2 linked regions of the Macaca mulatta genome follow. The main gene of each other region encodes a partner of the protein of the gene in region 2 in a complex. Links are inferred from orthologs where the notes say so. Each region holds a gene or a part of one and is shown on either strand. Other genes may lie near its edges. The genes, in order: CPLANE2 and FUZ.

What was found.
Region 1: the proteins of FUZ (region 2) and CPLANE2 are in contact, whole or in part, in a cryo-EM structure (PDB 7Q3E), measured with the Mus musculus proteins. The link is inferred for Macaca mulatta from reciprocal best matches to the Homo sapiens genes FUZ and CPLANE2. Residues at the interface, in NP_081652.2 of Mus musculus: Arg26, Arg35, Ile109, Val110, Lys126, Glu127, Arg129, Ala130, Tyr132, Cys133, Asp136, Gln215, Ala216, Ala217, Arg218, Asp219, Tyr220, Pro221, Tyr223, Pro232, Leu238, Thr239, Leu240, Leu241, Arg242, Pro255, Leu256, Gly257, Gln258, Pro261; in NP_001074643.1 of Mus musculus: Glu36, Gly38, Leu39, Leu40, Glu41, Arg42, Val83, His84, His85, Glu86, Thr88, Gly89, Ile90, Gln91, Thr92, Thr93, Val94, Lys124, Phe125, Met128, Glu134.

What each region holds. Positions count from the first base shown.
Region 1 is NC_133406.1:224,782,668-224,798,416, reverse strand, and holds CPLANE2 (ciliogenesis and planar polarity effector 2), read right to left. Parts: upstream 10,267-15,749; 5' UTR 10,113-10,266; exon of another isoform or gene 10,075-10,112; intron 9,977-10,074; exon of another isoform or gene 9,812-9,976; 5' UTR 9,810-9,811; coding exon 9,698-9,809; intron 7,322-9,697; coding exon 7,199-7,321; exon of another isoform or gene 7,189-7,198; coding exon of another isoform or gene 7,053-7,188; intron 6,848-7,052; coding exon 6,695-6,847; intron 6,076-6,694; coding exon 5,951-6,075; intron 5,703-5,950; coding exon 5,566-5,702; intron 5,354-5,565; coding exon 5,104-5,353; 3' UTR 5,064-5,103; coding exon of another isoform or gene 4,993-5,063; 3' UTR 4,940-4,992; coding exon of another isoform or gene 4,905-4,939; 3' UTR 4,757-4,904; downstream 1-4,756. UniProt on the Homo sapiens protein: Required for efficient primary cilia initiation, regulating a late step in cilia initiation. Plays a role in the final maturation of the mother centriole and ciliary vesicle that allows extension of the ciliary axoneme.
Region 2 is NC_133424.1:62,273,275-62,288,870, forward strand, and holds FUZ (protein fuzzy homolog), read right to left. Parts: upstream 7,638-15,596; 5' UTR 7,454-7,637; coding exon 7,343-7,453; intron 7,085-7,342; coding exon 6,963-7,084; intron 6,684-6,962; coding exon 6,599-6,683; exon of another isoform or gene 6,597-6,598; intron 6,016-6,596; coding exon 5,947-6,015; exon of another isoform or gene 5,946-5,946; intron 5,783-5,945; coding exon 5,678-5,782; exon of another isoform or gene 5,677-5,677; intron 4,255-5,676; coding exon 4,057-4,254; exon of another isoform or gene 4,055-4,056; intron 3,937-4,054; coding exon 3,841-3,936; intron 3,526-3,840; coding exon 3,419-3,525; exon of another isoform or gene 3,418-3,418; intron 3,341-3,417; coding exon 3,276-3,340; intron 3,202-3,275; coding exon 3,124-3,201; intron 2,013-3,123; coding exon 1,789-2,012; 3' UTR 1,505-1,788; downstream 1-1,504. Other genes in the region: AP2A1 (AP-2 complex subunit alpha-1), read left to right, coding at 100-221, 306-422, 517-586, 763-897, 1,319-1,396; MED25 (mediator of RNA polymerase II transcription subunit 25), read left to right, coding at 10,473-10,606, 10,701-10,746, 12,166-12,290. UniProt on the Homo sapiens protein: Probable planar cell polarity effector involved in cilium biogenesis. May regulate protein and membrane transport to the cilium.

The sequences.
Region 1 (15,749 bases), on a different chromosome or scaffold from region 2:
ACAAAATCTCGCTCTGTTGCTCAAGCTGGAGTGCAGTGGCGCGATCTCGACTCACCACAACCTCCGCCTCCCGGATTCAAGCGATTCTCCTGTCCCAGCCTCCCAAGAGCTGGGATCGGCTAATTTTTGTATTTTTAGTAGAGAAGGGGTTTCACCGTATTGGCCAGGGTCTCGAACTCCGGACCTCAGGTGATCCGTCCGCCTTGGCCTCTCAAAGTGCTGGGATTACAGGCGTGAGCCACCGCGCCCGGCCAGGTCCCATTTTTCGCGTCGGTCCTTTCTGCCTTCAAAAGTGCTTTGACATGCGTTTCCTCGTTTAAATTTCAAATGAGGAAAACGAACACCCTGGTTTTTCAAACGCGGAGACAGACGCCGGGTGGGCCGCGTCGTATAGTGACTGATCTTGCCCCTTTCTTGGTCGCCTCCAATGTGCCAGGCCCTGGCCTGAGCGTTTTACACCCTTCGTCCGTGTAATCGTCACAGCCCCTGCATAGGGCTGACACTACGGCCAAACCCATTTGACAGATGAGCTGCTGAAGCCGCTTGTGCTGGTCTCAGAGCTGGCCAGGGGCGTCTGCGCCCGGCCTCGGGACCTGCAGTCCGCCGGCTCTGCGCTCACCTCCTCCAGGTTCCGCTGAAAATTCTTGCGCCATCGCCGCAGCCTGAGTCACCTCTCTCCCGCCGCCGCGGGAGTCGCAGCTTCTCCTCCCAGGCGAGCACGAAGTCTGTCCCATCGCGGGGTCAGGGGGACAGTTAGGAGCGGTCTGACCCCGCTCCCGCTCTGTCCCACTTTTTTATTATTATTATTATTATTTTTTGAGACGGAGTCTCGCTTTGTCGCCCAGGCTGGAGTGCAGTGGCGCCATATCGGCTCACTGCAAGCTCCGCCTCCCGGGTTCACGCCACTCTCCTGCCTCAGCCTCCGAGTAGCTGGGACTACAGGCGCCCGCCACCTCGCCCGGCTAATTTTTTGTATTTTTAGTAGAGACCGGGTTTCACCGTGTTAGCCAGGATGGTCTCGACTTCCTGACCTCGTGATCCGCCCGCCTCGGCCTACCAAAGTGCTGGGATTACAGGCGTGAGCCACCGCGCTGGGCCCCACTTTTATCTGGGTGGAAAGGATCTGAGTTCATCAGTCCCTAGTACTTAGGCCAAAATTAAAGGAAATTTGAGTTTGTAGCAAAAGGTATTAGGGTTAGTTCGAGGAAGGAACTGCCCATTGCAAGAAAAAGACAAGAGACGCTGCAGGATTCCTCCGGGAAGGGAAAGGAGGTTTAAGGGAGAGCCTGTGGCCTGGTCACTCGGGCCTCGTGGGTGAGGTGGGACAAGAGTCCTGTCTGGCCCAAGTCTCACCAATGTAGGTTTTCCTGTCTCGGAAAATGTTACTCCTGGAGTCCAGGACATAAATGCTGCCGCAGGGCGCGAGATGCAGTTGTCGTCCCGGTTCCTGTCGGTGGCGTCATTGCCGTCCTGGGTGCAGCAGGCATAGGGGTGAAGGTGAGGGGATGGGGCACAGTTGCAGGTGCCAGAAGCTTCTCATTTGGCCCAGTTGGGCCACCCGTCCCTCCCCGCACCCCTGACTAAATCTGAAGTGTAACAATAGAGACGCTGTTAGCGCGATCTGGGATGCTTCTTCCTCCCCTCCACCTGCTCTGAGACCAGAACCGCCGCTGCTACTGTAATAACAAGGACGATGATAACAGCCAACATTTATTGGGCTCTTAACTTGGTGCCCGGCACGTGCTAAACATTTCACATGCATTTACTTCTCACAACTCAAATAAGTGAGTGCTGCTATCTCCATTTTACAGATGTGTCAACTGAGCAAAAGAGAATTACAGAGGACTTCCAAGGTCACGCACTTCCCCTTCAACCTCCTTCTGGACCACCCCTAACAAGGCCTCAGTCCCACCCCTTGCCTCTCAGGATCCACCCCTTCTTTATAGAATAGAGCTGAACACCAGCTCCCCTGCTTCTCCCCACCCACCAGTGTTCCAGAGGTGGAAGGGCCTCCAACCCGCTCCTCCAGCTCATTTTTTGTTGTTTGTTTTGTTTTGTTTTTTTGAGACAGAGTCTCACTCTGTTGCCCAGGTTGAAGTGCAGTGGTGCAATCTTGGCTCACTGCAACCTCCGCCTCCTGGGTTTAAGCGATTCTCCTGCCTCAGCCTCCTGAGTAGCTGGGATTACAGGCACTTGCCACCACACCCAGCTAATTTTTGTATTTTTAGTAGAGACGAGGTTTCACCATGTTTGCCAGGTTGGTCTTGAACTCCCGACCTCAGGTGATCCGCCCACCTCGGCCTCCTAAAGTGCTGGGATTACAGGCGTGAGCCACTGTACCCAGTGGAGCCCAGAAGGTTGAGACCAGCCTGGGCAATATAGCGAGACCTTGTCTCTCAAAAAAGTTTTAACATTAGCTGGGTATGGTGGGAGCTACTTCCGAAGCTGGGGAGAAATGGGGAGTTCTCCCAGAGTTCGAGGCTGCAGTGAGTGATGATTGGGCCACTGCACTCCAGCCTGGGCGACACAGCAAGACCCTGTCTCTAAAAAAATAAGAAGGGCATCAGCAAGAGGGCAATGGCAGAGCATTAAACCAGGTGTGGGGCTCCTTGGAGTTTGAGGCCCTGTGTGACCGGACAGGTCACAGTCCCATGCCATCAGCCTGAACATGTGCATGTGAGAACACACTCTCCTCTCACCCACTCTCCACAGGGCTGCCCAGAGACCACCCAGGAGGCACAGGCGTCGACTATTCAAAGCATTGTGGCTTCCAGTTCTGCACTGTGGTGATGGAGACCCCGGGGTGGCCTACTAAATACTAAAGTGGCACCGGGGCTGTGCTGGGAGGAGCTGAGAAGGCAGCCCTGGATGGCTGGTGGAGGGGCTCTAAGCCCCAGCCCTGTTGCCCTCCCCACTTTGTCCTCACCCAGGGAGACACCTCTTGTTTGGTGTAAAGGTGGATGAGGGGTCAATTCTCTGACCAGAGCAGTGTCAGCCAGGAGACTGCCCTGCCTCGCCATGCGGGGCGGGGAGGGGGGATCAGGTTATGCTCCAGACAGCTTTCTGGCTTTTGGCTGAGCTGGTGCCCAAGAGGGACAGGAAGCCTCCTTTCCGGGGGTGGGGGGGTGGGGTTTATGCCCAGAGATGACCGGCTGGGATGTGGGGTAGGCGGTTCCTAAGCACAAATGCCTGTAACTGGAGGCCCACAGTCAGGCCTGGGGCTGCCTTCTGGGCCCTACCCTCCACTACATTGCTCCTCAGGTGAGCTAAGGTCTCCTGGAGTTAAGGACAGAGGGGGACGTGGATAGATCCACCTGGAAGCAGGGCTGAGGGCTGCAGGAGTGGGAGCCGGCCTGCAGGCTCTGAGGCTGGGGTCCCGTCCAGGGACATTCCTTCTTGGGGTGTGGGTAAGTGCAGGGCCTGAGCTCTAAGCCTTAGTCAGCGGTGAGAAGGTGCTGGAATCAGTCCTTCCTCTGGCCCAGACCCTGGAAGGGTTGACAAACGTAGGTGGCAGTACCCAGGGAGGACAGGCTGGCAGTGTGGATGGGCATGTGAGCAGTGTGCTTGGGTGCAGGCATCAGGACAGGTGAGTCTGGACCTCCTGTGTGTGCCAGCAGGCAGGCGTGGAAAGTGCTTTCGTCCTAGCGCAGGTGTGTGTGAGCACAGGTCATACTGTGTGAGTGGGGCCTGGGCAGAGCTGCAGAGTTCCAAGAGTCAGCTGCCTTTGGGGACACTCTGCTTTGAGCCAGATGCAGGCCCGGCCTCAGCCCAGGGGTTCATCTATGGGGCTGGGCAGGGGCTCATTGGAGGGGATCGTATAAAGGCCCCTTTCCCTGGGGCCTTCCCCTCATCCTCCTTAGCCTACTTTGACCAGCGTCTCTGGCTTATGGGGCAGGGCCAAGACACAAGGCTGGGCCTACTCACTCCCCTCCCGGTTCCTGTCCTTGATGGCCTCCCATGGGACAGAGCTGCCTCTCAGGCCAGCTCACGCTCTGACCCCCACTGGGATGGTCCTTGACCCTGCATGGTGCTGCTTTCGGGTGCCCCTGGGCTGCCAGGACTCCTATCCTAAGCCTGGTCTGACAGCTTCATGATCAAGAAAGGCATTGCAGGCCAGGCGCGGTGGCTCGTGCCTGTAATCCCAGCACTTTGGGAGGCTGTGGCGGGCTGATTATTTGAGATCAGGAGTTTGAGACCAGCCTGGCCAACATAGTGAGACCCCATCTCTACTAAAAATACAAAAATTAGCTGGGCATGGTGGTTGGCGACTGTAATCCCAGCTACTCGGGAGGCTGAGGTAGGAGAATCGCTTGAAACCAGGAGGTGTAGGTTGCAGTGAGCTGAGATCACACCACTGTACTCCAACCTGTGCCACAGAGCAAGACTCCGAAAAAAAAAAAAAAAGAAAGAAAAAGAAAGGCCCTGCAGAGCGACGGGCTTGACTCCTGGACTCACAGGTGGACTCCATGTCCCAGCCTCCCCCGCAGCGCCACATGACTACATGACTGCTGGGTGCTGGTCTCTGGAATGTGGGCAGAATGAGGTGCCACCCTGGGCCTGGTCCACAGAAAGCTGGGGGCCACCTCCCGCCTGCATTCACTCCCTGGCTGCTAACTGGGTGCTGATGCCCTAGGGCAGCTGGACAGGGTCTCTGGGGCTGGGTCTCTGTAGGAGCGCCTGGAGCAGAGCCCCACGCCCACTGTCACCTACTTCCTAGCTGAGGCCTACGCAAGAACGAACACATGGAGTACAGCACTGGGATTTCGGAGTTTATCTGTTACAACAAATGGTGTCACCTCAACCAATAAAGGCTCTTGATTGAAGTCACTTGAGAGGCACCCCTTCTTCCAGTCACCCTCCACGGGTGCTGCCAAAGGGGGAAAGGCCGTGGGAGATGTTCGAGCTCAGGGCCTTGTTCCCCAACTCCCTGGCATGAATTCTGCAAGGAAAGTGCTGCTCCGGGGCGGGCCCTCTCCGGCCACATCCTCCATATCAGGTCATGCTGGCTAGTCTTCCAGATGGGACCCATGTTCCTGCCTCAGCCTCAGGCCCTATGTCGAGACCTGAGGGTTGGGGGTGGGATCACAAGCACCCACTCGTTATTCATTCAGGAGCACTCTCTGGGGGGTTGGGAAGCAGGCCGGCTGCCACCTGGTCCTGGTGCCACAGCTGCTCAGCAAGGCCGTTGAGTACGTGGGCAACGTCAGCCAGCCCAGCCCGCCCGTCCAGCGTGCACCCATCAGCCAGCCGCCGCCCTGGCACACTCTTCACCCGTAGCAGGGGCAGCTCCCAGGCCTGCCGAAAGGCTATGAGGTCCCGCTCAGGCACGTCTGTGTGCATGTACTGGTCAAATCTGGAGGAGGGTCAAGGAGCCTGGCTGGCTGCCTCTGCACAGCCCCCCATCAGACCCTGCCTCTCCTTCCTCCCTGGAGCCCACACCCAGGAGCTGGGGTAGCCATGCTGTACCCTCTAAGTAAAAGCCCAGGTGCTGAATTCCATGCCTGGGCAGAGGCTGGGCCCCTGACCCCCTTGCTCCGTGACTTGCTGAGGGTATCCAAAGGATACTTGGAGCCGATGACCATCCTGACGACACCAGGGGCCTCACCTGCTATGCGGGTCAGCTGTCCAGGGAGGTCTTCAAAGGAGGCACGGTCAGTGAAGGAGAAGAGGAAGAGGAAGGCATCTGTGTTCTCCATGCAAGCCTGGTGATGGAGAGGCATATAACCAAATCACCTCCCATCAACTGCAGGGCCCTGAGAAGAATCAGGAATAATCCCTCCTTTCACAGATTGGGAAACTGAGGCCCAGGGCACGTAGCGGCTGGTCCTAGGACAAGCATGGGCTGGGACTCAGTCTCCAGTGCCAGCTCAGATCTCTGAGCAGTGCCTTGAGCTCACTACTACCCAACCAGCCCCTGGCAGAGCCCACCCAGGCCCACATGCCTGCTCACCGGGAGCATATGATCGAACTTTTTGAGTGCAGACTCTCCACAGTCCCAGAACTCAAAACGAAACATGACGACACGGCCGCTGGCCTGCAGCTTGGCTGGCCAAAATACCACGGTGGTCTGGATGCCTGAGGGGGAGCCAGGGTCAGCCATTCAGCATGGGAGAGGTGGGGGTGGAGGAATAGGTGGCCAGGAAGGAATAGGAAGAAGAGATACATCCCTGCCCTGATGGGTCCCCAGTTTGATGAGGGCAGCCCAGTCCTTGACCCAGGAGAATTCGCTGATGGGAGAAACAGAGACCAGCCCTGGAGGAGACTCTGGTATACCAGGAAGATGCAGCCCTAGCTATGGCAAAGCAGCTTCGTTTCTATGTCCAGGGAGACCTAAAGGGCCCAGGGCACTGGGAGATGTTTCAACATGGTGGAACAATCAGCATCCAGTGGTGAGAAACAAGAAAGCAAGATTAGCATTTCCTGAGCGTCTGCCTTGAGCATAGCTTGATGCTAGGCATGTTACCACTACTACCTCTGTTGGCAACCACACAACAACCCTGTGGGGTAGGTACAATTATTCCTTTGGGACCAAGGAGCCCATGTAGGCTCAGAGAGGTGAAGTGACTTTCTAAGGCTACAGAGTAAGAGGTGGAGCTGGGTATCAACCCTGGCTTGTGTGGTCCAGGGCGAGGTTCTTGCCTCCACCCCCAAGGAGGGCCTCCCAGGATGGGCAAAGGATTGAGGTCCCACTCACCGGTGGTCTCGTGGTGCACCACAGGCACCTCCAGGCCAGCCAGCTTGGCCACCAGCGCCGTCTTGCCCACACCACTCTTCCCAGACACAAAGATCTTATAGCTGGCAGTGTCGATGGACACAGGCGGCGGCAGCACTGGCCGCTCAAGCAGGCCTAGGGCAAAAAGGGAGCCAGGCAGGGTCGAAGGGTGCTGTGGTTTGAAGGAGTCCCCCAAAGTTCATGTGTTGGAAACTTAATCCCCAATGCAGCAGTGTTAGGAAGTCGGGCCTAATACAAGGTGATCGAGTGTTCTGCTCTCATAAATGGATTAATGTTGTCACTGGGGCAGTGGGTTTGTTATAAAAGCCAGTTTGGGTACCTCTTGCTGTCTTGCTGTTGCCCTTCTGCCGTCTGCCCATGGGATGACACAGCATGAAGGCCCTTTCCAGATGCCACTGCCATGTTCTTAGACTTCCCAGCCTCCAGAACCATGAGCTAAATAAACTTCTGTTCATTATAAATTACCCAGAGGAGGCCAGGCGCAGTGACTCACACCTGTAATCCCAGCACTTTGGGAGGCCAAGGCAGGCGCATCACTTGAGGTCAGGAGTTCGAGACCAGCCTGGCCAACATGGTGAAACTCCATCTCTACAAAAAAAATACAAAAAATTAGCTGGGTGTGGTGATGTGTGCCTATAATCCTAGCTTCTTGGGAGGCTGAGGCAGGAGAATTGCTTGAACCTGGGAGGTGAAAGTTGCTAAGCCAAGATCACACCACTGCACTCCAGCCTGGGTGACAGAGTGAAACTTTGTCTCAAAAAAATATAAATAAATAAATAACTCAGAGTGTGGTATTCTGTTATAGTAGCATAAAATGAACTAAGACGGGGGTAAATCCTGCACTTGCCCCATCAGATCCTGGGCTGGACAATCTCATTTATTTATTTTTATTTTTTTTCTTTACCTTCTATTTTTAATAGGGATGGGGTCTCACTGTGTTGCTCAGGCCGGTCTTGAGCTCCTGGGTTCAAGCAATCCTCCCACCTTGGCATCCGAAAGTACTGGGACTACAGGCATGAGCCACCACACGCAGCCAAGGACAACCTCGTTTCTAATGGCTTCTTCAGGGCTAAGCAACCATCTGTGGTTCTTTTTTTTTTTTTTTTTTGAGATGGAGTTTCGCTCTTGTTGCCCAGGTTGGAGTGCAATGGCATGATCTCAGCTCACTGCAACTTCAGCCTCCTGGGTTCAAGTGATTCTCCTGCCTCAGCCTCCCGAGTAACTGGGATTATAGGCACGCGCCACCATGCCTGGCTAATTTTGTAGCCAGGGGGTTTCTCCATGTTGGTCAGGCTGATCTCAAACTCCCAACCTCAGGTGATCTGCCTGCCTCAGCCTTCCAAAGTGCTGGGATTACAGGTGTGAGACACTGTGCCCAGCCCCATCTGTGGCTCTTAATACTCAACCCAGTTTTACAGAAGTCTGGGATACAAAGAGACTGGCCTAAGTGATTATAGTCAGTCTGTTGATATTTATTTACTAGCTGCTCTCAACTAGCTGTTTCTTGTGAGGCCTGCATGACAACCACTGAATGATACATTCGGGTGCATAAACCCAGCTGTTAAAAAAAAGAAAAAAACCCAAATGTCTGTGGTTAAAGTAAAAACACAAAAATTAAAAGCCATCACTGCCATTCCTCTAAGTTATGGCTGTTTGATCCTATCTGTGGCATAGATAATATGGTCAGTGGATTCTATGATGTCCCCAGAAAATCAGCTCAACCTTCACTCAATTCTTTTCCACTCAACACAACTAAATGCAAAATAAATACAATAACAACCAACCTTCAGTGAACACCCACTGTATGCCAGACCCTGCTCAGTATGTTACAAACACACTCTTTATCAATTTCCCCAGGACCTCTATGGGATAAATACTGTGATTATCCCCATTTTACAGAAGTGGGACTTTAGCTAGAGTTCACTTATCCCCAGTCATACAGCTAGCAGTGGTGGAGCCTGGGTCACTTACCTGGGTATGTGTAACCCCAAATACAGTGTTACCAGCCGTCATGGGATTAAAGGGACAGTGGCCATAATCGAGGGTTTGTTTTTTTTTTCTTTTGAAATGGAGTTTTGCTTTTGTCACCCAGGCTAGAATGCAATGGCTGGACCTAGGGTCACTGCAACCTCCGCCTCCTGGGTTCAAGTGATTCACCTGCCTCAGCCTCCCGAGTAGCTGGGATTATAGATGCGCACCACCATGCCCGGCTAATTTTTGTATTTTTAGTAAAGACAGGGTTTCACCATGTTGGCCAGGCTGGTCTTGAACTCCTGACCTCAGGTGATCTGCCCACCTTGGCCTCCCAAAGTGCTGGGATTACAGGCGTGAGGGTCGTATTTTGAATCTAGTGTAATTTTTTTTTAAACAGTTGACTTATTCACAAATTTTGGTTCTAGCTATCTCACTCTCTGGTCTTAAGCTTTCTGGCACCTTGCTTCTCCTGCCCAGAACTGTACTCCACAGCTGATTCCAGGCACCTTTGCCGGCCTGTCAGCCGGGCCCTGCCTGAGTTTCACTGAACTGACTCACCCAGGCAGTTCAGTGATGGGGAACACCAGTGTCTCATCCTAGAGACAGCAGGACATGGAAGAGGCTCACCTCTATTAGGGTGTGATATTAGCCAAGTCTGTACCATGTGCTGTTGAGAGGTTAAATGGGCGTGCACTGTGTAACGAGCCCAACAGAGGGCCTGGCAGCAGCGGAGAGCTCAAGCAACTGCATCTCTGGTGACAGTGGTTGCTGGCAGGGTTTCTGCTGTTTCCATGTTCCTGGCTCTGACGAGGGAATTAGCTCTAAGGAGACTTAGGGGTGGGGGGTCCCAGAGGTAGGGCTTTCAGTCCCCCAGGCTGAAGACTGCAGCAGGCCCTCACTGCCCTGCCTCTCTGCTCTCTTCAGAGAGCAACAGGTGACACTGGCAGGGAGAAACAAGTGGCGGGCTGGAGGAAAGGGGGAGGCACTTACCAAACACCCGCCGGCGGTTCTTGCGCAGAATGCAAGCCAGGTACTCCTTGCCCTCAGCACTTTCGTGCCAGTTTGGGACAACCACCGAACCGGGCACGGGAGGTCTGGCCATGGCTGGGCACCGCGACGGGGTAGGGAAGTGGCAGAATGCTGAGACCAGGGAGTGCGAAGGGGGGTGACCGTACCAAGCCGGGCCTATGATCCCTCTTAAACGCTGACTCTCCCGGTGGGTACCAGAAAGTGCAGTCCCTCAGTTGCCTCTCTCCTCCACAGTGCTCCCTGGGGATAGTCATCCCATTACTGCCTAGCGAAGGTATTTACCCAGCCCCTCTCCCCTTGTCACCTCCGGGGGTCAGACAGCCCTGCTTCTCCTCTACCTTCTAGATCCCAACTCCCGGGGCTACCTAGCCCTCACCGTCAGCATTCCCGGCGGCGAAACAACCTGGGTGCCGAAGGCCCCTTTAAACGCCCACCCGCGCGCCCATCGCCCCAGCCCGCCAGGCCCGCTTCCGCCCCGCCTGCGTCCGGCTTCTGCCCGTGCTGGCAGCTCAGGCGCCGGTGCTCGCGGCGCATGTGCAGAGGTTGTTGCCATGGAGACGCCGGAGGCTGGATTGGGCGGGTTCCGGGCTGCGTTAGTCCCTCCTACAACGTCCGCAGGCAGCGCCGCGCGACGGCGCTGGATAAGGCCTTTTCCTCTGGGTCGTGGATCCTCTTCTCTGCTACTCCGTCTGATCCCCAGTTTTTCTTCCAAAACATCTTGAAACCCCCCCTTCTCCAGGAGCCTTCCATGCTTCTCTGTGTCTCAGTTTCCTCTTCCATAACGTGGATGTAACATGTCATTCCCTCCATAGCAGTGCTCCACGTTATGATTGTAGCTATTATTAATATTATTGCTCTATTAATCCTGCTCGGCAGGACCTCGAGATGACTTAAACATCTCTAGCTTCACTGATGGGGACACACACCAGCTCAGAGAGGTCAAGGGACTTGGCTGAACTTTTAAAAAAAGAGTCAGAGGCCCGCTGGATTGTATTTTTCATTCATTCATTCATTCATTCATTCAACAAATACTGAGCACCTACTATGTGCCTGGCCCATTCTAAGGGCTGGGAATACAGTGGCCAACAAGAAGTCACTGCCCTCCTGGGGCTGACTTTTCAGCTCTGAAACTCTGAGCTCCCCTCCACCGTTCCAGCACTGGATTCCAGGCCTGTTACCCAGAAGGTGGGTGCTCAGTAAATGCCCATTGGTTGGAAAGGGTACAGGTGGGTCACTACTGAGAGTTTGTCTATTACATTTAATTTTTACCATTATCCTCCCGCAATGCCTTCAAGTAGGGCAAATCACTGTTTTGAAAGGAATAATCTAGGAGTTAAGCTTTACCGAAGGCCACCGAAATGCCAGACACTGGGAGCTTTACAGAGGTCACTGGATTTAATTCTTTTTTTTTTTTTTTTTTTTTGAGACGGAGTCTTGCTCTGTGCCCCAGGCTGGAGTGCAGTGGCGCGATCTCGGCTCACTGTAAGCTCCGCCTCCCGGGTTCACGCCATTCTCCTGCCTCAGCCTCCTGAGTAGCTGGGACTACAGGCGCCCGCCACCTCGCCCGGCTAATTTTCTTGTATTTTTAGTAGAGACGGGGTTTCACCGTGTTAGCCAGGATGGTCTCGATCTCCTGACCTCGTGATCCGCCCGTCTCGGCCTCCCAAAGTGCTGGGATTACAGGCTTGAGCCACCGCGCCCGGCCTAGATTTAATTCTATAAACAAATCTGTATAAGTAGTATTACCCTCTTGTACTGATGAAGACATTCAGAAACATAACATGACTTGTCTGAGGTCACACTGCACAGCTAGTCAGCATGAAACCGACTCAGAACTCACAGCTGGTTTGGTGTGTGGCTCACGTCTGTAATCCCAGCACTTTGGGAAGCCGAGGCAGGCAGATTGCTTAAGCTCAGGAGTTCAAGACCAACCTGGGCAACATAGTAAGACCCTGTCTCTACAAAACAATACAAAAATTAGCCAGGCACAGTGGTGGATGCCTGTAGTCCCAGCTACTTGGAGGCTGAGATGGGAGGATTGCTTGAGCCCGGGAAATGGAGGTTGCAGTGAGCCGAGATCATGCCACTGTACTTCAGCCTGACCGACAGAGCCAGGCCCTGTCAAAAAAAAAACCAAAAAACAAAAAACCCACGCTTCATGCTTACCTGACTCTAAAGTACCTATCTGTTCTACCAGTTTGGGTTTTGTGTTTTTAAAACTTTGCCCCTAGCCACTAGGAGGGCTGTTCCTAGGGAAGCAGAAAGCAGCCAGAGGACTATGAACTCAGATTTTTAAGGCCCATTATGTCCTAAGAGAGGGGACAAGGATGTGTAAGGCCCATTATGTCTGAGAGGGGACGGGGATGTGTAAGACAAAGTGCTTTCTCTCAACTTGCTCACACTATGGCTAGGCAGAAAAACAAGATGAATAAACATTTCTACAGAATTCTGCAGTTGAAATCCTTTGCCCATACTTCCGGGTCACATGGTTCCCGTTCCTACAGCTATCATCACATCTGCCCAGTCAGGGAGATTCACAGTTGTCTCCATGGGCCAGGAGTGACTCAGTGGCAGGGCTCAGATCTAAACTATCTCTGGATTTCCAGACTTCACATCCACCCCTGTCCTTGGTTCGTGGAGGGCTCAGTGAGCGTGTGAGAAGATGAAGCAACTTGGCAGAGTAACATGCCCGTTAATCTGGAACCCAGAGAAGATGTAAAGTCCTCTTGGGGCCAGGTGCGGTGGCTCACACCTGTAATCCCAGCACTTTGGGAGGCTGTTTGAGACCAGCCTGGGCAACACGGCAAAACTTCATCTCTAAAAATATACAAAAAAAGGCTGGGCGCGGTGGCTCATGCCTGTAATCCCAGCACTTTGGGAGGCCGAGGTGGGCGGTCCACCTGAGTTCAGGAGTTCAAGATCAGCCTGGGCAACATGGTGAACCCTGTCTCTACTAAAAATACAAAAATTATCCGGCTGTGGTGGCAGGTGCCTGTAATCCCAGCTACTCAGGAGGCTGAGGCAGAAGAATTGCTTGAACCTGGGAGGTTGAGGTTGCAGTGAGCAGAATCACATCACTGCACTCCAGCCTGGGTAACAGAGCTGAATAAATAAACAAAATAAATTATGTATTTAGTGGAAGGCTGATCAAGGACTCAAAAGAATGCAATCTTTTGTCTCTTATCTACTTTTTTTTTTTTTTTTTTTGAGACAGAGTCTGACTCTGTCACCCAGGCTGGATTGATTGGAGTGGCACAATCTCAGCTCACTGCAACCTCTGCCTCTGGGGTTCAAGCGATTCTCCTGCCTCAGCCTCCCAGGTAGGTGGGACTACAGGCACGCGCCACCTGTCTCACTCTGTCACCCAGGCTAGAGGGCAGTGGTGTGATCTCAGCTCACTGCAGCCTCACCCTCCTCAGGCTCAAGCAATTCTCCTGCCTCAGCCCCGAGAGGAGCTAGGACTACCGCCTGGCTAATTTTTTTTTTTCCTTTTTTTGTATTTTTGTTTGTTTGAGACAAAGTCTCAATTTTGTTCCCCAGGCTGGAGTGCAATGGCGCGATCTTTGCTCACTGCAACCTCTGCCTCCCAGGTTCAAGCGATTCTCCTGCCTCAGCCTCCCGAGTAGTTGGGATTACAGGCGCCTGCCACCACGCCCGGCTAATTTTTGTATTTTTAGTAGAGACAGGTTTCAACATGTTGGCCAGGCTGGTCTTGAACTCCTAACCTCAGGTGATCCACCTGCCTCAGCCTCCCAAAGTGCTGGGATTACAGGCGTAAGCCACTGCGCCTGGCCTTTTTTTTTGGCATTTTTTTTACAGAGAAGGTTTTGCCATGTTGCCCAGGCTGGTCTCAAACTCCTGGCCTCAAGTGATCTGCCTGCCTTGGCCTCCCAAAGTGCTGGGATTACAGGCATCAGCCACTGCGCCCAGCCTTAATTACCTCTTTAAAGAAACTGTTTCCAAATATAGTCACACTGGGGGCTAAGACTTCAATGTATGGATCTGGGTGGAGGGGGGCACAATTCAGTCCATAACAGGGTCCCTAGACCTCACGTAAACACTGCTGCTGGGCACAGGAGGCCAGCCGACTGTTGGGGCCTGAAAGTGACATGGTTAGAACTGCGTTTCAGAAGGACGCTTGTGGACCGTGTTGGTCTATGAGTTCTGCTCTCCTGCGCCCCTCTGACCACTAAACTATGTGTCTGCCTAAGCCAGCTGCTTCTCCTTTCAGGGCCTTAAGCAAAGCACGTAGAACATCTCCCTAAGGACCCTTCTAGTCTAGAGCCCTCTGATTTTTTTTTTTTTTTTTTTGAGACAGAGTCTTGCTCTGTCGCCAGGCTGGAGTGCCACTGGCTCACTGCAACCTCCACCTCCTGGGTTCAAGCGATTCTCCTGCCTCAGCCTCCCAAGTAGCTGGGATTACAGGCACACACCACCACCATGCCTGGCTAGTTTTTGTATTTTTAGTAGAGATGAGGTTTCACCATGTTGGCCAGGATGGTCTCAATCTCCTGACCTCGTGATCTGCCCGCCTCGGCCTCCAAAAGTGCTGGAATTACAGGTGTGAGCTACTGTGCCTGGCCTAGAGCCCTCTGATTAATCCACTCATTTCTTCTTGGTTTGGTCTCCCCACAAATATTAAACATCTCTTGGACAAGGTCCCCACGAGACCTTAAGAGGACTCCACAAGGCAAGGACACAGTCACCAACTTGACAGAGTGGATAGGAGGCCCAGGTGGGTAGACACACAGGCCGAGCTGGGGTGAGAATGAGGCATGGAGAGCCCTGCTTGAGGATCCTGGGTGGGTGGGGGGTGGGAGGTCAGCTAGGACACCAGGCTTAAAATCCTCTCAGCACCTAGAATAACGCCCACCCCTCCCTCAGCATGGCCTAGCACCAGGAATGCTCCACTCACACCTGGAATGCTTGCTCTGCCTCCTAGCAGTCCTTCCGCCAGGCTCACCGGGCTTCAGGCCATTCTCCAAGCAGAAGCCACTGCCAGTTAATCAAGTCAGGTCAGGGCACCAACCTTGCCGCCAAGCTCAGCGGTCAATTCTCCGTCCTCAGATCACTGGTCCCCGGGATGATTCCCAGGTGACTGGATGGATGGTGGTGCCCCTAACTGTGGGGGAAGCACGGAGGAAGCGTACAGGGACAGAGGAGGAGCCCCTGGGGAGTGAGGGAGGGCGGGGGGCTGCCCAGAGAGGACACACAGCAGATGTTGGAATGTAAAACGCAGGTGAGCAGCCCGAGCAGAGCTGGACATTACCAACGGCGGAGGGACCAAGCTTGAAGCAATGGGTGTAGACGGATGAGAGGTCCGGATGCTGTGGACAGACAGCAGGGCCTTGAGCAATGACAACCACGAGCTCAGACCCGGGAGAGGCAGAGGAACCAGAAACCCCCTCCTCCAGCCCGCCCTGAGGCTCATGTTGCAGGGAGGCTTGCCCAAATCCCAGGGAAGCATGGCTGGGGAGGGATGCTACTCCTTGGACGCCATCTCTTGTGGGCCTTCTGCTGCAGAAAGTACTCTGCTCTGTGCCCCTGCCGTGGCCTCAGCCGTGGCCTCAGCCGTGCGGTCCTGTGTTCTCTTCCCACTATGGATTCCGCTCGGGAGCTCCTTTCCCATTACATCTGAGGGGATGACCTCTGGTCATCAAGTCCACATGGGTCACCCTCCATTGTCCTCAGCCCTGACCATTGGCTGCTGAGGCTTTTAGGTTTATCGAGATCCTGCATTACTGACTGCCAGAATCAAGGCCTAGACCCCACCCATCTGGGATGCCCCAGATAGGCTCTATCCTCATCTGCCCCCCTGCCACAGGTCAGCAGGATGAGGCCAAGTGCCATGATCTGAACGTCCCGCCAGATTCACATGTTGAACTTTAATCACCACAGTGACAGTATTAACAGGTGGGGCCTTTGGGGAATTATTAAGTCATGAGGGCAGAGCCCTCATGATGGGATTAGCGACATTATGGAAAGGCTTGAGGGGCCAGTTTGTCCCATCCAC
Region 2 (15,596 bases):
CCTGCAGGCGGGAGCTGCCGGCAGCTCTGGGGTTCCTGACCCAGACCTCCCGGGGGCCCGCCGCCTCTGTCTGGCTTCCTTGACCGCTGGCGGGCACAGCTGGCTGTGCAGACCAAGCGCGTGGCGGCGCAGGTGGATGGCGGCGCGCAGGTGCAGCAGGTGCTCAATATTGAGTGTCTGCGGGACTTCCTGACGCCCCCGCTGCTGTCCGTGCGCTTCCGGTAAGTGAGGTGTGGCGCGGCCAGTGGGCGGGGCCTCCCGGGCGAGGGGCGGGGCCTAACGGAGCCTCCCCCTCACTCCACCAGGTACGGTGGCACCCCCCAGGCCCTCACCCTGAAGCTCCCAGTGACCATCAACAAGTTCTTCCAGCCCACAGAGATGGCGGCCCAGGATTTCTTCCAGCGCTGGAAGCAGCTGAGCCTGTGAGGGGTGGGGAGGGGGCGGCGCCAAAGCCGCGCCTCCGGGTGGGCGGGTCGGGCCGTCCAGGTCCCTGACTTGAACCTTCCCGGTCCCCAGCCCTCAACAGGAGGCGCAGAAAATCTTCAAAGCCAACCACCCCATGGACGCAGAAGTTACTAAGGCCAAGGTGAGAGACCGCGGGCGTGTTTGCTGGCCTAGGGCTGCTTTGCTTCTCTGAGCCTCTGTTTTCCCATCTGTAAAGTGGGGCCAATTCCCATCCCCAAGGGTTTTGGGATCTGGGATGCCACTGTGTGGTAACTGACAGCTCTGGCACTCTCTGACGGCGGCCCCCCTCCCTCCCAGCTTCTGGGATTTGGCTCTGCTCTCCTGGACAATGTGGACCCCAACCCTGAGAACTTCGTGGGGGCAGGGATCATCCAGACTAAAGCCCTGCAGGTGGGCTGTCTGCTCCGGCTGGAACCCAACGCCCAGGCCCAGGTGAGTGCTGCTGTGGGAGGCCTGAGGTCGGCAGGAAGGCCACCTGTCATCTCTGTGCCCACTCTTCCTGCCTCACTGTTCAATTCACGTCCCCCCTTTGACCCTCCTCCTCTCGCATCTTTGTCCACTTTTCCTCCTCTTTATCCATCAATCTTCTCTCCTGTCTCCAACCTCTGGTCTTCCTCTCCTCTTCCTGTCCCTCCCTGATTTCTACCTTTCCATATCGTTTCCACCTTTCTCTTCTCATTTATAATTTCCCTCCTTTCTGGCTCCTCCGTTGATTTCATTCTTACATTCTCCTCTCCTGTGTCTTGTATCACTTTTCTGGCCCCTTTATCCTTCTTTCTTCTATCTCCCTTGTGTCCCCACTTCCCTGGGCTCCCCATCTTCTCTGAGTTCTGCCCCCAATGTCCCCACCCAGATGTATCGGCTGACCCTGCGCACCAGCAAGGAGCCCGTCTCCCGTCACCTGTGTGAGCTGCTGGCACAGCAGTTCTGAGCCCTGGACTCTGCCCCCGGGGATGTGGCCGGCACTGGGCAGCCCCTTGGACTGAGGCAGCTTTGGTGGATGGGGGACCTCCACTGGTGACAGAGAAGACGCCAGGGGTTGGGGGATGCCTGGGACCTTCCTCCGGCCTTTTGTATTTTTATTTTTGTTCATCTGCTGCTGTTTACATTCTGGGGGGTTAGGGGGAGCCCCCTCCCTCCCTTCCCCCTCCCAAGCACAGAGGGGAGAGGGGCAAGGAAAGTGGATGCCTCCTCCCCTCCCACCCCACCCTGTTGTAGCCCCTCCTACCCCCTCCCCATCCAGGGGCTGTGTATTATTGTGAGCGAATAAACAGAGAGACGCTAACAGCCCCATGTCTGTGTCCATCACCCACTGCTAGGTAGTCAAAGAAGTGGGGTGAGGGCATGCAGAGTGTGGGTGGCTAGGCTTCGCAGCCCATGGCTGGGACTCTGGGGAGACAGCAGCAGCAGCAGCCGCCGAACCCCCAGCTGCAGGGCCACCAGACGCACTCCTTTGCCTGGTTCCTCAGTCCCCAACACCAGGTAGCAGGCTCTGGGCAGCTGGGCCTGGTAGACCTCATCTTCTGTCTTCCCTGGTGGCCCTGGCTCTGGGGAAAGAACAGGGGGCACTGAGGTGACAAGTAGCATGCTAACCTTTGGAAGCCACACCACATCCTGGGCCCAAGTTCTGAACGCGTGGGGTCTCTGAGCACAGGTTTTGGGAGCCTTCTGCCAGGGCAGGGCCTCGGGGTTCTAGCAAGCTGTCAGCAACTTGAAGACCATGATGCTCTCAGCTCACCCTCGTCCTCTTTCTCAGCCTTGGCCCCCATTTTCCTGGGGAAACTGTGCAGCTGCAGGCAATCCTCTTAGCAATACACATGGCAAACACGGCAGAAACACAGGAGCTCCAGTAGCCTTTTCCAGGAGCCCACCCGCCCCACTGCATGAGGTGGGTGGAGGGAAGCAGGCAGGGGCCAGGGAGAGGTGGAGTCGCACAGCTAAGAAGGGGTGCAGCCCCCCAGATGGAGCACTTGACCACTGTGCTGCATTCATCCGGGCTTCACTGGGGTCATAGCGCCATCCCAGGGCCCTCCCTTTGTCTCTCTGGGCCTTTATGGGTTTTACAATAATTTTTCCTTTCTAACCCAGCATCGGTGAAAACCTGCCCCATCCCCCAAGCCTATCAGCAAAGTCTGTGCTTTCAGCAGTAGTGCAGAGTGCTGGACCGTGTGGATATGGGAGCCAGATCCCCTGTGTTCGAATATGGCTGTGCCACTCATAAGCTGAGCCTCCGTTTTCTCATCTGTAATATGGGAATGATGAGGTAACAGGATAGTCCTCGCTTGTGAGGATAAAGTGATTTCATTCTTTCATTACATGTAAAGGCACTGGGAAGAGGTGAGGTCTCACTGTTAACTATTGTTAACTATGATCTAGGAGGTTCTGAAGCCAGGCAGGGACCTCCCTTCCCCTCCCTTCCCTCCTGGAAAAGGCTACTGGAGCTCCTGTGTTGCTGCCGTGTTTGCCATGTGTATTGCTAAAGAGGATCGCCCTTCCCATCTGCATCAAATCTCAGATCTCAAGAAAAACCACAGCCCTATGGCCCAGTGCATGCTGGGTTCGTCCGGTTCCTCCAACCCCACCTCCTACTCCCACTCTGCGTGACCAGAGACTCAGTGTCCCCGCCTGCGCAGTGGGAGCACTGTGCCTGCCGCTGACCTGGTGGGAAGTGCGTGGAGGTGACCAGGGTATAGAAGTTTCGGAGGAGGCGCCGGCGCTGTTCTGGTGAAGGCTCTGCTGAGGAAAAGGCAGTGATGCAGAGCCCCTCCCCGGCCCACGCTCCTCCTGCCCCTGCCCCTGTCCTCAGTCACCTTTATCCCCCAAGGGCTCCACGGTGAAGAGGCAGCGTTTCAGTTCCAGGTGGAGGAGCAGCAGCCTGTGGGAAAGGGAAGGGAATGTCATGGTTGGGGAAGAGGACATGATCCCCAACCCACTCCCTCCATCCGAGCCTTACCCGAGGATGTCTGTGTGAAGGGGGAAGCCACTGGGCAGCGCTCGGGGTCCCAGCGGCAGACAGGCCCGCAACGGGTCCAGCAGTGGCTGCCAGCAGCGCTCCAGAAGCTGCAGGGGGCGTGGTCATTATGGGAAGGCGGGGCCGGCGGGGGAGTGCACGATAGGGGCGTGGTCAATCGGGAGGGGCGGGGCCTACGAGAACAGTGGAGGGCGGAGGGCAGAAGGGACAAGGGAAGGGGCGAGGCCTGGAAGGACGGAGGACGCGCGGGGGTGGCCGATCTTGCGGGGAAGGTGAATGACTGGAGCGCAGTCCAGAAGGGGCGGGGCTGGGGAAAGAAGCCGCTGGCAGGGCAGGGTGGTTGGAAAGGGCCTTGCAGGTACAGGGTGTCCTAAGGGGGAAAGCGGGACGTGGCGCAGGTTCACCTGTGGATACAACTGGCTGAGGGGTGGGCTTGGCCCGCAGAGTAGACACAGCTCCAGGCTCGGCAGCAGTGTCAGGGTCAGGAGCCGGTGTGGGACCTGAAGCAGGGCACAGGCTGGGGCTGACCGCGGCCCGGCCCCTTTCCATCGCAGATCCCGCTTCCTAGCGACTCGGCCCCCAGGTCACATCCCTCTGCCCCGTCCGCCCCACCCACTCACCGTGGGGCTCCCGTGCGGCAGGTACACCGGGTAGTCGCGAGCGGTCTGCGGCGGCAGGGACCCCACCAGCCAGGGGAGCAGCACGGCCTCGGGCGTCCCCAGCCGCCACCAACCTTCCGTTGCTGCCACCACCCGGCCCGACACCACCAGACTGACGAATGCCGTGCCCGTGGCCTCCGCGAACCCGGAGAGGGCTTCCTGGGTAAGGGAGGCAGGAGAACTGGGAGTCGCAGACAGGCGTAGGGGTTGGCAGCGACTTCCCCGGTGGGCAGGGAATGGGGAGTAAACCCACAGCCAGCCCCAAGCTCGTGGAGTGGCCATGCTCCTGCGTCTCACCCTCTCTGAGCCTGAGTTCCCTCACCTTCATACGAAGTCACATCCCCAACTCACACTGTGAAGTCTGATTACACACCTAGCCTGAGTGTGCAAACTGAAGCTAATGATGTAACCACAGCAGCTACTGTTCATCAAGGCCTGTTACATGCTGAGTAGGCACCATCAGCAATGTAGAGAAGCCAAGTCACCTGCTGAGAGTCACACTGCTGGGAGGCGCCCACACCAGGCAAGTCAGCAAGAGCAGTATTTAAGTAGGGGTAGCTAGAGATCTGAGAGACAGGAGGAAGAGCAGGTACCAAGGTTGGAAAGTCGTTGGGATCTCTGGGGTCTGTGAGGCAGCAGGATGGAGGTAGATTGTGGATTTAGCAACAGGTTAGGGGGTGCCACGTGCCACAGGCCTTCAAACACCAGGCTGAGGGGCTGGGACCTTGTCCTGGGGGAGGTGGAGGCTGCGGGAGGGCTGTGAGCAGGAAAGGGGCAGGGCCAGCTCTGGATATAGGAGGATTCTTCTGGTGGTCGGGTGTGATGGCTCACACCTGTCATCCGAGCAGTATGGGAGGCTGAGGGGGGAGGACTGCTTGAGCCCAGGAGTTTGAGACCAGCCTGGGCAACTTAGTGGACACTCATCCCCAACCCCAGTCCATCTCTTAAAAAAATTAGCTGAATGTGGTGACACGTGCCTATAGTGTCAGCTACTGCGGAGGCTGAGATGAGAGGATCACTTGAATCCAGGAGTTCAAGGCTGCAGTGAGCTATGACTGAGCCACTGCGCTCTAGCCTGAATGACAGAGCGAGACCCTGTCTCAGAAAAGAAAGAAAGATGGCCCAGGTGCAGTGGCTCACGCCTGTCATCCCAGCACTGTGGGAGGCCAAGGCAGGTGTCAGAAGTTTGAGACCAGCTTGGCCAACATGGCAAAACCCCATGTCTACTAAAAATACAATAAATTAGCTGGGCGTAGTGGCGGGTGCCTGTAATCCCAGCTACTCCGGAAGCTGAGGCAGAAGAATTGCTTGAACCCAGGAGGCAGAGGCTGCAGTGAGCTGAGATCGTGCCACTGCACTCCAGCCTGGGCAACAAGAGTAAAACTATGTCTCAAAAAAAAAGAGAAAGGAAAGAAAAGAGAAAAGAAAAACAATACAAAGAAAAAAGATTCTTCTGGGACCAGGTGGGGATAGGACTGGAAACTGAGAGGATAGGAGAAGGTTGGGACAATGGTCCAGAAGAAAGAGGATGAGGACTGAGCCAGGGCCAGCGGAACACGTATTTCCATAGCATCCGCAGTACCTGCAAGAGGGACCCCTCTGGAGGAATCACACAGTCCACACACTGGGTCAGGTCCCCGATGAGCTCCGAGTCCCCTAGGAAGCTGTCGATGAGGCAGTAGCTGGCCTAGGAGAATGAGAAAGGGACCAGCCTAGCATTCAGGTGGACCCAGGGTCAGACAACCAAGAACCTGTGGGACCAGGCTGTCCCAGGGGCTGCTGGGAACTGTAGTTCCCAAATGGCAGTGCCCAGGTATCCTAACTTCCCACCCTCATGCCCTGCAACCTCACCCTCAAGTCCTTCTTCAGTCTCTCCACATTGCGGATATTGGTCAGTTCTTCAAGTCCCACAAGAAGGACCTAGGAGAACCATATAGGAGAGAATGGGCCCTGGGCAACTAGTTCTAAGAGAGGAGGGGCTGGGACTTGAACTCCTGGGTCTGAAGGAAGAGGAGGCTAGGACTCCCACTTCTGGGTCTGGGGACTGGGGGGTCAAGATTCCTGGGTTCTGGCTGGGCCGGACGTGGTGGCTCATGCCTGTAATTCCAGCACTTTTGGAGGCCAACGTGGGTGGATCACTTGAGGTCAGGAGTTTGAGAACAGCCTGGCCAACACAGTGAAACCCTGTCTCTACAAAAAATACAAAAATTAGTTGGGCATGGTGGCGCGTGCCTGTAATCCCAGCTACTTGGGAAGCTGAGGCACGAGAATTGCTTGAACCTGGGAGGCGGAAGTTGCAGTGAGCCAAGATCACGCCGTTGCACTCCAGCCTGGGCAACAGAGCGAGACTCTGTCTCAAAAAAAAAAAAAGAAAAGAAAAAGAAAAAGATTCCTGGGTTCTGAGGGAGGAAGTGTTGGTGGTCTGGACTCCTAGGTCTGAGGGAGAAGGATGCTGAGATCTCAGATGCTGGTTTGGGGAGAAAAGAGGACTGGTGAGTCTCACCATGGCTCCAAACACCATTTGGAGTAGTCTCTCCAGCCTCAGCTCAGAGATGCCCTCCTCAGATGACAGAACAATGAGGGTGATGCTGTGGAATGGAAGTGAGAAGAATGAGTCAAGGCCTTGGGAATCAGGAAGGGGTATGCTGGAGTCCGCCCATCGATTCCAGAACACCAGATACATCCTCCCTCAGCCCAACCTTCCTTTCTTATAGAAAACATCAGGGATCAAAGAGGGTAACTGGCTTGCTAAAGATCCCACAGCCAAATTAACAGCTGGTTTTAGAGAGCTGGAAGGCCTCCGAGGTCATCTTCAACAGGGACTATCACCCAGGCCCTGTCCCTGTCCCACGTTCCCTCCTGGGGACCTGTCATGGAAGCTTTTCCACACCACAGTCGTGTTTTCAGTCTTCGCAGAGCTCAGCTGCACCTCCAGATTCTGCCCAAACATATGGACTCCATTGAGGGAACCGATGACAGAGAACGGGAGCTAAGGAGGGGTTAGGGACATCAGACAGGAGCACCACCCCATCCCCTCCTCCTTAGGACCTAAGCGTGCCAGCTCCCAGCCCCATCCTCTTTCCATATACCCTGGCAGTGCCTCTTTGGGGAATCAGGCTTATTGGTGCATTGCCTCCTCGGTCCTACAAACTCAACACTGAAACCTCCCCAGCCCCTACTGCCTTGAAGACCCAGAGTCAAAACACCGAACCCCCTTCGGTTTAGATACAGGTGTCCAAGGCCCCACCTGCTGACGGGCGGGGGCGCCGCCGCGACTGCTCCTGCAGAACAGGGGAACCCCGCTGGACGCCGCGAGGCACAGCAGATGAACGGTGCCACCCGTCCCCTCCTCCCCCATTTAGGACTCCCACCGCGGTCCCTCACGTGGGGACTGTCAGTGCCGGTCTTGGAGCATGCCGGTAATCACAGTAACGGCCTGTGGTCCGGAGCCGCCAGAGGGCGAGATGGGGAGCTGATTGGAAGAGGATTAATTTCCCGCCTTCTTCACCCAACTCAAACAGACCCTTAAACCCCATTCAGGCACCTCCCCCAAGCCCATTAGGTTCTCTTCCGCCCCGGCCGGAAGTCATGGTACCCCTAACAAAGATGGCGGCTAATTGAATTGGCAAACCTTTCTTGTTTCTCGGAGGAGGTAAGGAGAACCCAGAGGCCGGATTGAAGATGATGACTGCGCCAAGGCCTTGCCTAGCCACCATCCTGTAGGCTTTGATGATTTACACTCTAAACGGGAAAAACAGTTGTGCCCCGATCAAAGATTGCGACGGTCCCAAAGCGTTGCCTAGCAACCACATTCCCTCTAGGTTATAGTAGTAAACAACGTGCCCTACTCAAAGGCGGCGACCGTGGCTGGGTGTTGCCAAGCAACCACCATTCAGCCAGATTTCCATTCCAAAGCTGTAAACAGCTGTGCCCTGCTCAAAGATGGTGGCACGTCGAAGTCCGAGCACCTCCTTGGGGCGAAATCGAGAAAAACACCGTCTCCCCCCAACATTCGAGGGTGGTTGAGTCCAGCGATCGTTGCCTAGTAACCACCAAAAAAAAAAAAGGTTGTTTTTATTATTGGAAAAAAGAAAACAAGGAAATCCTTTGTCGTCCAGAATAATAAAAATAACATCATTTCTGTAATGAATTTATACATGGTAGCATACTATGTAAAATGTGAAAATATCCCTTCCCTAATTTTTTCTTTTTTTTTTTTTTTTTTTTTTGAGACGGAGTCTCGCTCTGTCACCCAGGCTGGAGTGCAGTGGCCGGATCTCAGCTCACTGCAAGCTCCGCCTCCCGGGTTTACGCCATTCTCCGGCCTCAGCCTCCCGAGTAGCTGGGACTACAGGCGCCCGCCACCTCGCCCGGCTAGTTTTTTGTATTTCTTAATAGAGACGGGGTTTCACCGTGTTAGCCAGGATGGTCTCGATCTCCTGACCTCGTGATCTGCCCGCCTCGGCCTCCCAAAGTGCTGGGATTACAGGCGTGAGCCACGGCATCCGGTCCGGGTCAGGTTTCTTTCTATTAAAGTAAATATAAAGTGGCAGGGCACAGTGGCTAACACCTGGGATTGCTTCAGCCCAGGAGTTTGAGACATGCCAGGGCAACATAGTGAGACCCCATCTCTACAAAAAATTTAAAAATTAGGCCGGGCGCGGTGACTCATGCCTGTAATCCCAGCACTTTGGGAGGCCGAGGCCGGCGGATCACGAGGTCAGGAGATCGAGACCATCCTGGCTAACACGGTGAAACGCCATCTCTACTAAAAATACAAAAACAAAAAACAAGCCAGGCGTGGTGGTGGGCGCCTGTAGTCCCACGTACACGGGAGGCTGAGGCAGGAGAATGGCGTGAACCCGGGAGGCGGAGCTTGCAGTGAGCCGAGATTGCGCCACTGCACTCCAGCCTGGGAGATAGAGCGATACAACGTCTCAAAAAAAAAAAAAAAAAAAAATTAAAAATTAGCTGGGAGTGGTGGTGCGCGGCTGTGGTCCCAGCTGCTCTACAGGCAGAAGAGTGGCTCCAGTGCGAGCACTAGAGGCTGCCGTGAGCCAAGATTGGGCCACTGCACTCCAACCTGCACAACAGAAAGAGACCTTGTCTCAAAAAATAAAAATTAAAATTAAAAAGATAATAGTAATGCAGTGTTTCTATTTTTCTATATTATTCATCAATAAGATTTGTGTAGCACATTTCTGTCAACAAACACGTTAGATTATTCCAGTTGGTAGTGTATTTTTCAACTTGGTTTATGCAGTCTTTTGGGAAAAATTAATAAAGACTACGTTTTCTGACTTTGCTGTAGTGCTAAGAAACTCAATGGCAGTCATTAAGATTTTTTTCCTTCAGATAGTTTTCGAGTTTCATTTGTCGCACTTACATTTTTAATCTACCTGGAATGTATTTATGTTCTAGGCCAGTTTCTGGCTCCTCTCCCGGAAAACAACGCTCAGGTGTTGCTAAGCAACCCACACTTGGGTTGGTATTCGGCTTCTTTTCAGGGGGAAAACAACTGCCCTCCCTTCCAAGTTGAGGACGACCTTAAAGCGTTGCCTAGTAACCTCGTTTCCGCCGATGTGATTGGATCCTTCTCGCCTCCCTCCCCCAGTCCGCCCGCCCAAAAGAACAGAATCAGAAACTTAATCTAACGGTTAGAAAACAAGGGCAGAGGTCCCGGCGCTGTGGCTCAGGACTGTAATCTTAGCACTTTGGGAATCCAAGGCGGGCGAATCACTTGAGGTCAGGAGTTCGAGAACAGCCTGGCCCACATGGTGAAACCCTTTCTCTACTAAAAATACAAAAATTAGCGGAGCCTGGTGGCGGGCACCTGTAATCCCAGCTACTCGGAAGGCTGAGGCAGGAGAATCGCTTGAACCCGGGAGGCGGAGGTTGTAGTGAGCCGAGATCGCGCCACTGCACTTCAGCCTGGGCGACAGGGCGAGACTCCCCTTTCGAAAACAAAGGAAACAAAACACAAAAACGAAAACAAGGGCAGCGTACGCGTTGCATAGCAACCAGGTCTCCCGCCCCTCCCTTTGAGACAAGAGGCGGACCCAGACGCCCCGCTCAAAGATGGCGGCTGACTGAGCCGCTTTCAATTTATTTCGCTCTTGAGAATCCTGACAAGAATTCCGTCGAACCCATCAGGCCCCTAAAAGGGCTAACTATGCCCTTTCTGAGTTTTCCACGCGGTGGAGGCGAAGGAGGATGGAGCTAGAACGAAGCCTCAGCGCGTGCCCCGCACAAACATGGCCGCATTCCCAGCGTCCCTAAACCGCCCGGCGCGGGTGCGCGCGCAGCGCAGGCGCATTTCCGCTCATTCCGCGGTGTCGGCTGCGGCGGCTGTGGCGGTGGCGGCTACCGCACGGGGTATGGTCCCCGGGTCCGAGGGCCCGGCCCGCGCCGGGGGCCTGGTGGCCGACGTGGTGTTTGTGATTGAGGGTACGGCCAACCTGGGACCCTACTTCGAGGGACTCCGCAAGCACTACCTGCTGCCGGCCATCGAGTGAGTGCCGTTTCCGCGGCTCTAATCCCGCCCTCCCATTTCAGTTTCCACAGCTTCTTGCCTGACTCCGACCTTTCACCTCCGACCCTCACAGGTATTTTAATGGTGGTCCTCCTGCTGAGACGGACTTCGGGGGAGACGTGAGTCTTGGGACTCCTGGGTCTGAGGGAGGAGGGGCTGGGGGCCTGGACTCCTGGGTCTGAGGGAGGAGGAGTTCGGGGTCTGGACTCCTGGGTCTGAGGGAGGAGGAGTTCGGGGTCTGGACTACTGGGTCTGAGGGAGGAGGAGTTCGGGGTCTGGACTCCTGGGTCTGAGGGAGGAGGAGTTCGGGGTCTGGACTCCTGGGTCTGAGGGAGGAGGAGTTCGGGGTCTGGACTACTGGGTCTGAGGGAGGAGGAGTTCGGGGTCTGGACTCCTGGGTCTGAGGGAGGAGGAGTTCGGGGTCTGGACTACTGGGTCTGAGGGAGGAGGGGTTCGGGGTCTGGACTCCTGGGTCTGAGGGAGGAGGGGCTGGGGGCCTGGACTCCTGGGTCTGAGGGAGGAGGGGACTGGGGGTCTGGACTCCTGGGTCTGAGGGAGGAGGGGCTGGGGGCCTGGACTCCTGGGTCTGAGGGAGGAGGAGTTCGGGGTCTGGACTACTGGGTCTGAGGGAGGAGGGGTTCGGGGTCTGGACTCCTGGGTCTGAGGGAGGAGGGGCTGGGGGCCTGGACTCCTGGGTCTGAGGGAGGAGGGGCTGGGGGCCTGGACTCCTGGGTCTGAGGGAGGAGGGGTTCGGGGTCTGGACTCCTGGGTCTGAGGGAGGAGGGGCTGGGGGCCTGGACTCCTGGGTCTGAGGGAGGAGGGGTTCGGGGTCTGGACTCCTGGGTCTGAGGGAGGAGGAGGGGCCTGGACTCCTGGGTCTGAGGGAGGAGGAGGGGTCTGGACTACTGGGTCTGAGGGAGGAGGGGTTCGGGGTCTGGACTCCTGGGTCTGAGGGAGGAGGAGGGGCCTGGACTCCTGGGTCTGAGGGAGGAGGAGTTCGGGGTCTGGACTCCTGGGTCTGAGGGAGGAGGGACAGGGGTCTGGACTCCTGGGTCTGAGGGAGGAGGGGATGGGGCTGAGATTCCTGGGTCTGAGGAAGGAGGAAGTTGAGGAGTTCCTGGTTCTGGAGGAACAGGAAGCTGGGAGCCCTGATTCCTTCTCTGAGGGAAAAGAGAATGGAGATCCCAGATTAAAAGTTTTTCTGGGCCGGGCGTGGTGGCTCAAGCCTGTAATCCCAGCACTTTGGGAGGCCGAGACGGGCGGATCACGAGGTCGGGAGATCGAGACCATCCTGGCTAACACGGTGAAACCCCGTCTCTACTAAAAAATACAAAAAACTAGCCGGGCGAGGTGGTGGGCGCCTGTGGTCCCAGCTACTCGGGAGGCTGAGGCAGGAGAATGGCGTGAACCCGGGAGGCGGAGCTTGCAGTGAGCTGAGATCCGGCCACTGCGCTCCAGCCTGGGCGGCAGAGCGAGACTCCGTCTCAAAAAAAAAAAATAAAAAATAAAAAAAAAGTTTTTCTGTTCTCCCCTCCCAGTATGGAGGGACCCAGTACAGCCTCGTGGTGTTCAACACAGTGGACTGCGCTCCCGAGTCCTATGTACAATGTCACGCTCCCACCAGCAGCGCCTATGAGTTTGTCACCTGGCTCGATGGCATTAAGTGAGCTTTTCCCCCACTTAGGGTGGGTTGGGGTTCCTGTGAGGGGCCGTGAATGAGGGATGGCTTGGGTTTGAGCTGCAGGAAACATCTCATACATGAAGCGATTTAAAGGACTTTGAAGGTGATTGTGTTTTTGTCAGAAGTCACTTTTGTGGCTTCTGTGTGCTCAGCAATGTTGCCAACCAGTTTAGAAGTAGGAAAAACTTCCCATTCAGGGAGGCCTGGCTGAGCTCCAGCAGCCACCTTGTACTTCCTGTGTGATTGTCCCCTTTATGTCCTCTCTTTTTCTATTTACCCCGTTCTCCTTTTCCAGATGCGTACATTGTAGTCTCAATGCAGGGGGATGGGTCAGAGCCAGGATAGATCCCTCTGTGGCTTGAATCAGACCTTTTTTTTTTTTTCTTTGAAACAGAGTCTTGCTCTGTCTCCCAGGCTGGAGTACAGTGGCAGAGTCTTGGCTCACTGCAACCTGCACCTCCCGGGTTCAAGCGATTCTGCCTCAGCCTCCTGAGTAGCTGGGATTACAGGCACACGCCACTACACCCAGCTAATTTTTTTTTTTTTTTTTTAGTAGAGACGGGGTTTCGCTATGTTGACCAGGCTGGTCTCGAACTCCTGACCTCACGTGATCTGCCTGCCTCAGCCTCCCAAAGTGCTGGGATTACGGGGGTGAGCCACTGTTTCAGGATTGAGGAGGACGGGAGAGAGTCTTCCGCTTAAAGCAAGAGAATCTTTCATTGAGTGCACTCAGGCCCAAGCAGACTCACGTCCAAAGACGGCCTAGAACAAAGACAGCACTTGACTTTTATACACACTTCACAAAAGGGGGTGGGCTAGCTTGAAGCAAACTTACAGTGGCGTGAAAGCAGGGATACAGAGGCAGGACAAAGACAGTTAATCAAATTGTTGTAACAGGTTTATAACTCAGGATTACACATAACCGTTGCTATGCAACCCAGATGTCCGTTATCTAGGTTTGCCTAGACACGGGCTTATCCCATAACCTTCACTATGGTGCCCAGGCAGCTCAGGCTTCTCATGACCTTCACTGTACTTCTTAGATAAAAGAGAATACTTGAAGTCATTAGTTACAGAGAACAGAAATCTATAAACTCATTCCATAAAACAAAGGAAAATTTGTTTTTTCTTCTCCCTATGTTGAGGGAGTGCTGGGAGAGTCTCCAAGAGCACATTAGATAATATTATCAAAACTTTTCCTGGGTCTGGGCTGTGTCTGTTGCTGCCTCTCAGGCAAGTCAGCCTAATACAGTAAAACTTATTTCTCTTTGTTTTTAATTTTATTTTTCTTTAATTTCCTGCCTTAACACCACACCTGGCGCTGGATCAGATTTTGATAGTTGACATTGTAGACTCTGGAGTCAGGCAGTCTGGGGTCAAATCCTGGCTCTTCCACCACAGAACTAACTCTCAGACCCAGGAGTTCATGTCCCCCCTGTGCCTAGTATCTCATCTCTGAACTGGGGATGTGGATAGTACTTGTATTAGTATTTCATTGTATTATTCTTAGGTGCATAACAGATTACCACCAAACTAACGGCTTCATACTGCAAACATTTATCTAATGCAGTTTCTGTGAGTCAGGGACACAGGAGTGGCTTAGCTGGATGATTCGACTGAGGGTCTCACAAGGCAAGAGTCAAGAGGTCGGCAGGATTGCAGCCATCCAGGGGGTTTGACTGGCGGTGGGGAATCGGCTCCCAAGGTGGTGAGTCTGTGGCTGTTAGCCGCAAGACCTCTCCACGGGGCTGCTTAACTGTCTGACATGGCAACTGGCATTCCTCAGATTGAATGACCCAATAGAGACAGCAAAGAGGAAGCCCCAGGCCTCTTTTTGAGGAAGGATTTCACTCTGTCACCCAGGCTGGAGTGCAGTGGCTCAGTCATGGCTCACTGCAGCCTCGACCTCCTGGGCTCAAGCTCAAGTGATCCTCCCACCTCAGCTTCCCAAGTAGCTGGAGTAGCAGGGACTGTAGCCAAATGCCAGCACACCTGGCTGATTTGTTAAAAATTTTTTTGTAGGTCGGGCGTGGTGGCTCATGCCTGTAATCCCAGCACTTTGGGAGGCTGGGGCAGGTGGATCACCTGAGGTCAGGAGTTCCAGACCAGCCTGACCAACATAGAGAAACCCCGTCTCTACTGAAAATACAAGCGCTCCTCCTGCCTTGACCTCCTTAAGTACTGGAGTGCTGAGATTACAGGCCTTAGCCGGGCATGGAGGCGCATGCCTGTAATCCCAGCTACTCAGGAGGCTGAGGTAGGAGAATAGCTTGAACCCGGGAGGTGGAGGTTGTGGTAGGCCAAGATCACACCATTGCACTCCAGCCTTAGCAACAAGAGTGAAACTGTCTTAAAATAAAAAAAATTTAAAATAAATTTTTTTTTGTAGTGGCTGGGCATGGTGGCTCATGCCTGTAATCCCAGCACTTTGGGAGGCCAAGGCGGGCAGATCACCTGAGGTCAGGCGTTCAAGACCAGCCTGGCCAACATGGTGAAACCCCGTCTTTACTAAAAATAAAAATGGCCGAGCGTGGTGCCTCATGCCTGTAATCCCAGCACTTTGGGAGGCAGAGGCGGGTAGATCATGAGGTCAGGAGGTCGAGATCATCCTGGCTAACAAGGTGAAACCTCCTGTCTACTAGAAATACAAAAAATTAGCCGGGCGTGGTGTTGGGCACCTGCAGTCCCAGCTACTCAGGAGGCTGAGACAGGAGAATGGCGTGAACCCGATAGGCAGAGCTTGCAGTGAGCTGAGATCGCGCCTGGGTGACAGGGCAAGACTCCGTCTCAAAAAAAAAAAAAAGAACCACATACAAAAATTAGTCGGGTGTGGTGGCATGTACCTGTAATCCTAGCCACTCAGGAGGCTGAGGCAGGAGAATCACTTGAACCCAGGAGGTGGAGAGATCGTGCCACTGTGCTTCAGCTTGGGTGACTGAGTGAGACCCTGTCTCAAAAAAAATTGTTTTTTGTAGAGTCGAGGTCCTGCAATGTTGCCCAGGCTGGTTTTGAACTCCTGGTCTCAAGTGATCCTCCACTTCAACATCCCTAAGTGCTAGGATTACAGGCATGAGCCGCTGCACCCAGAGGCCCCACTGGGCTCTTTGTAATCAAGTCTTGGAAGTTACATGTCATTATTCCTGTTACATTCTTTTTTTTTTTTTTTTTTTTTTTTTTTTTTTGGAGACGGAGTCTCGCTGTCGCCCAGGCTGGAGTGCAGTGGCCGGATCTCAGCTCAGCTCACTAGAAGCTCCGTCTCCCGGGTTTACGCCATTCTCCTGCCTCAGC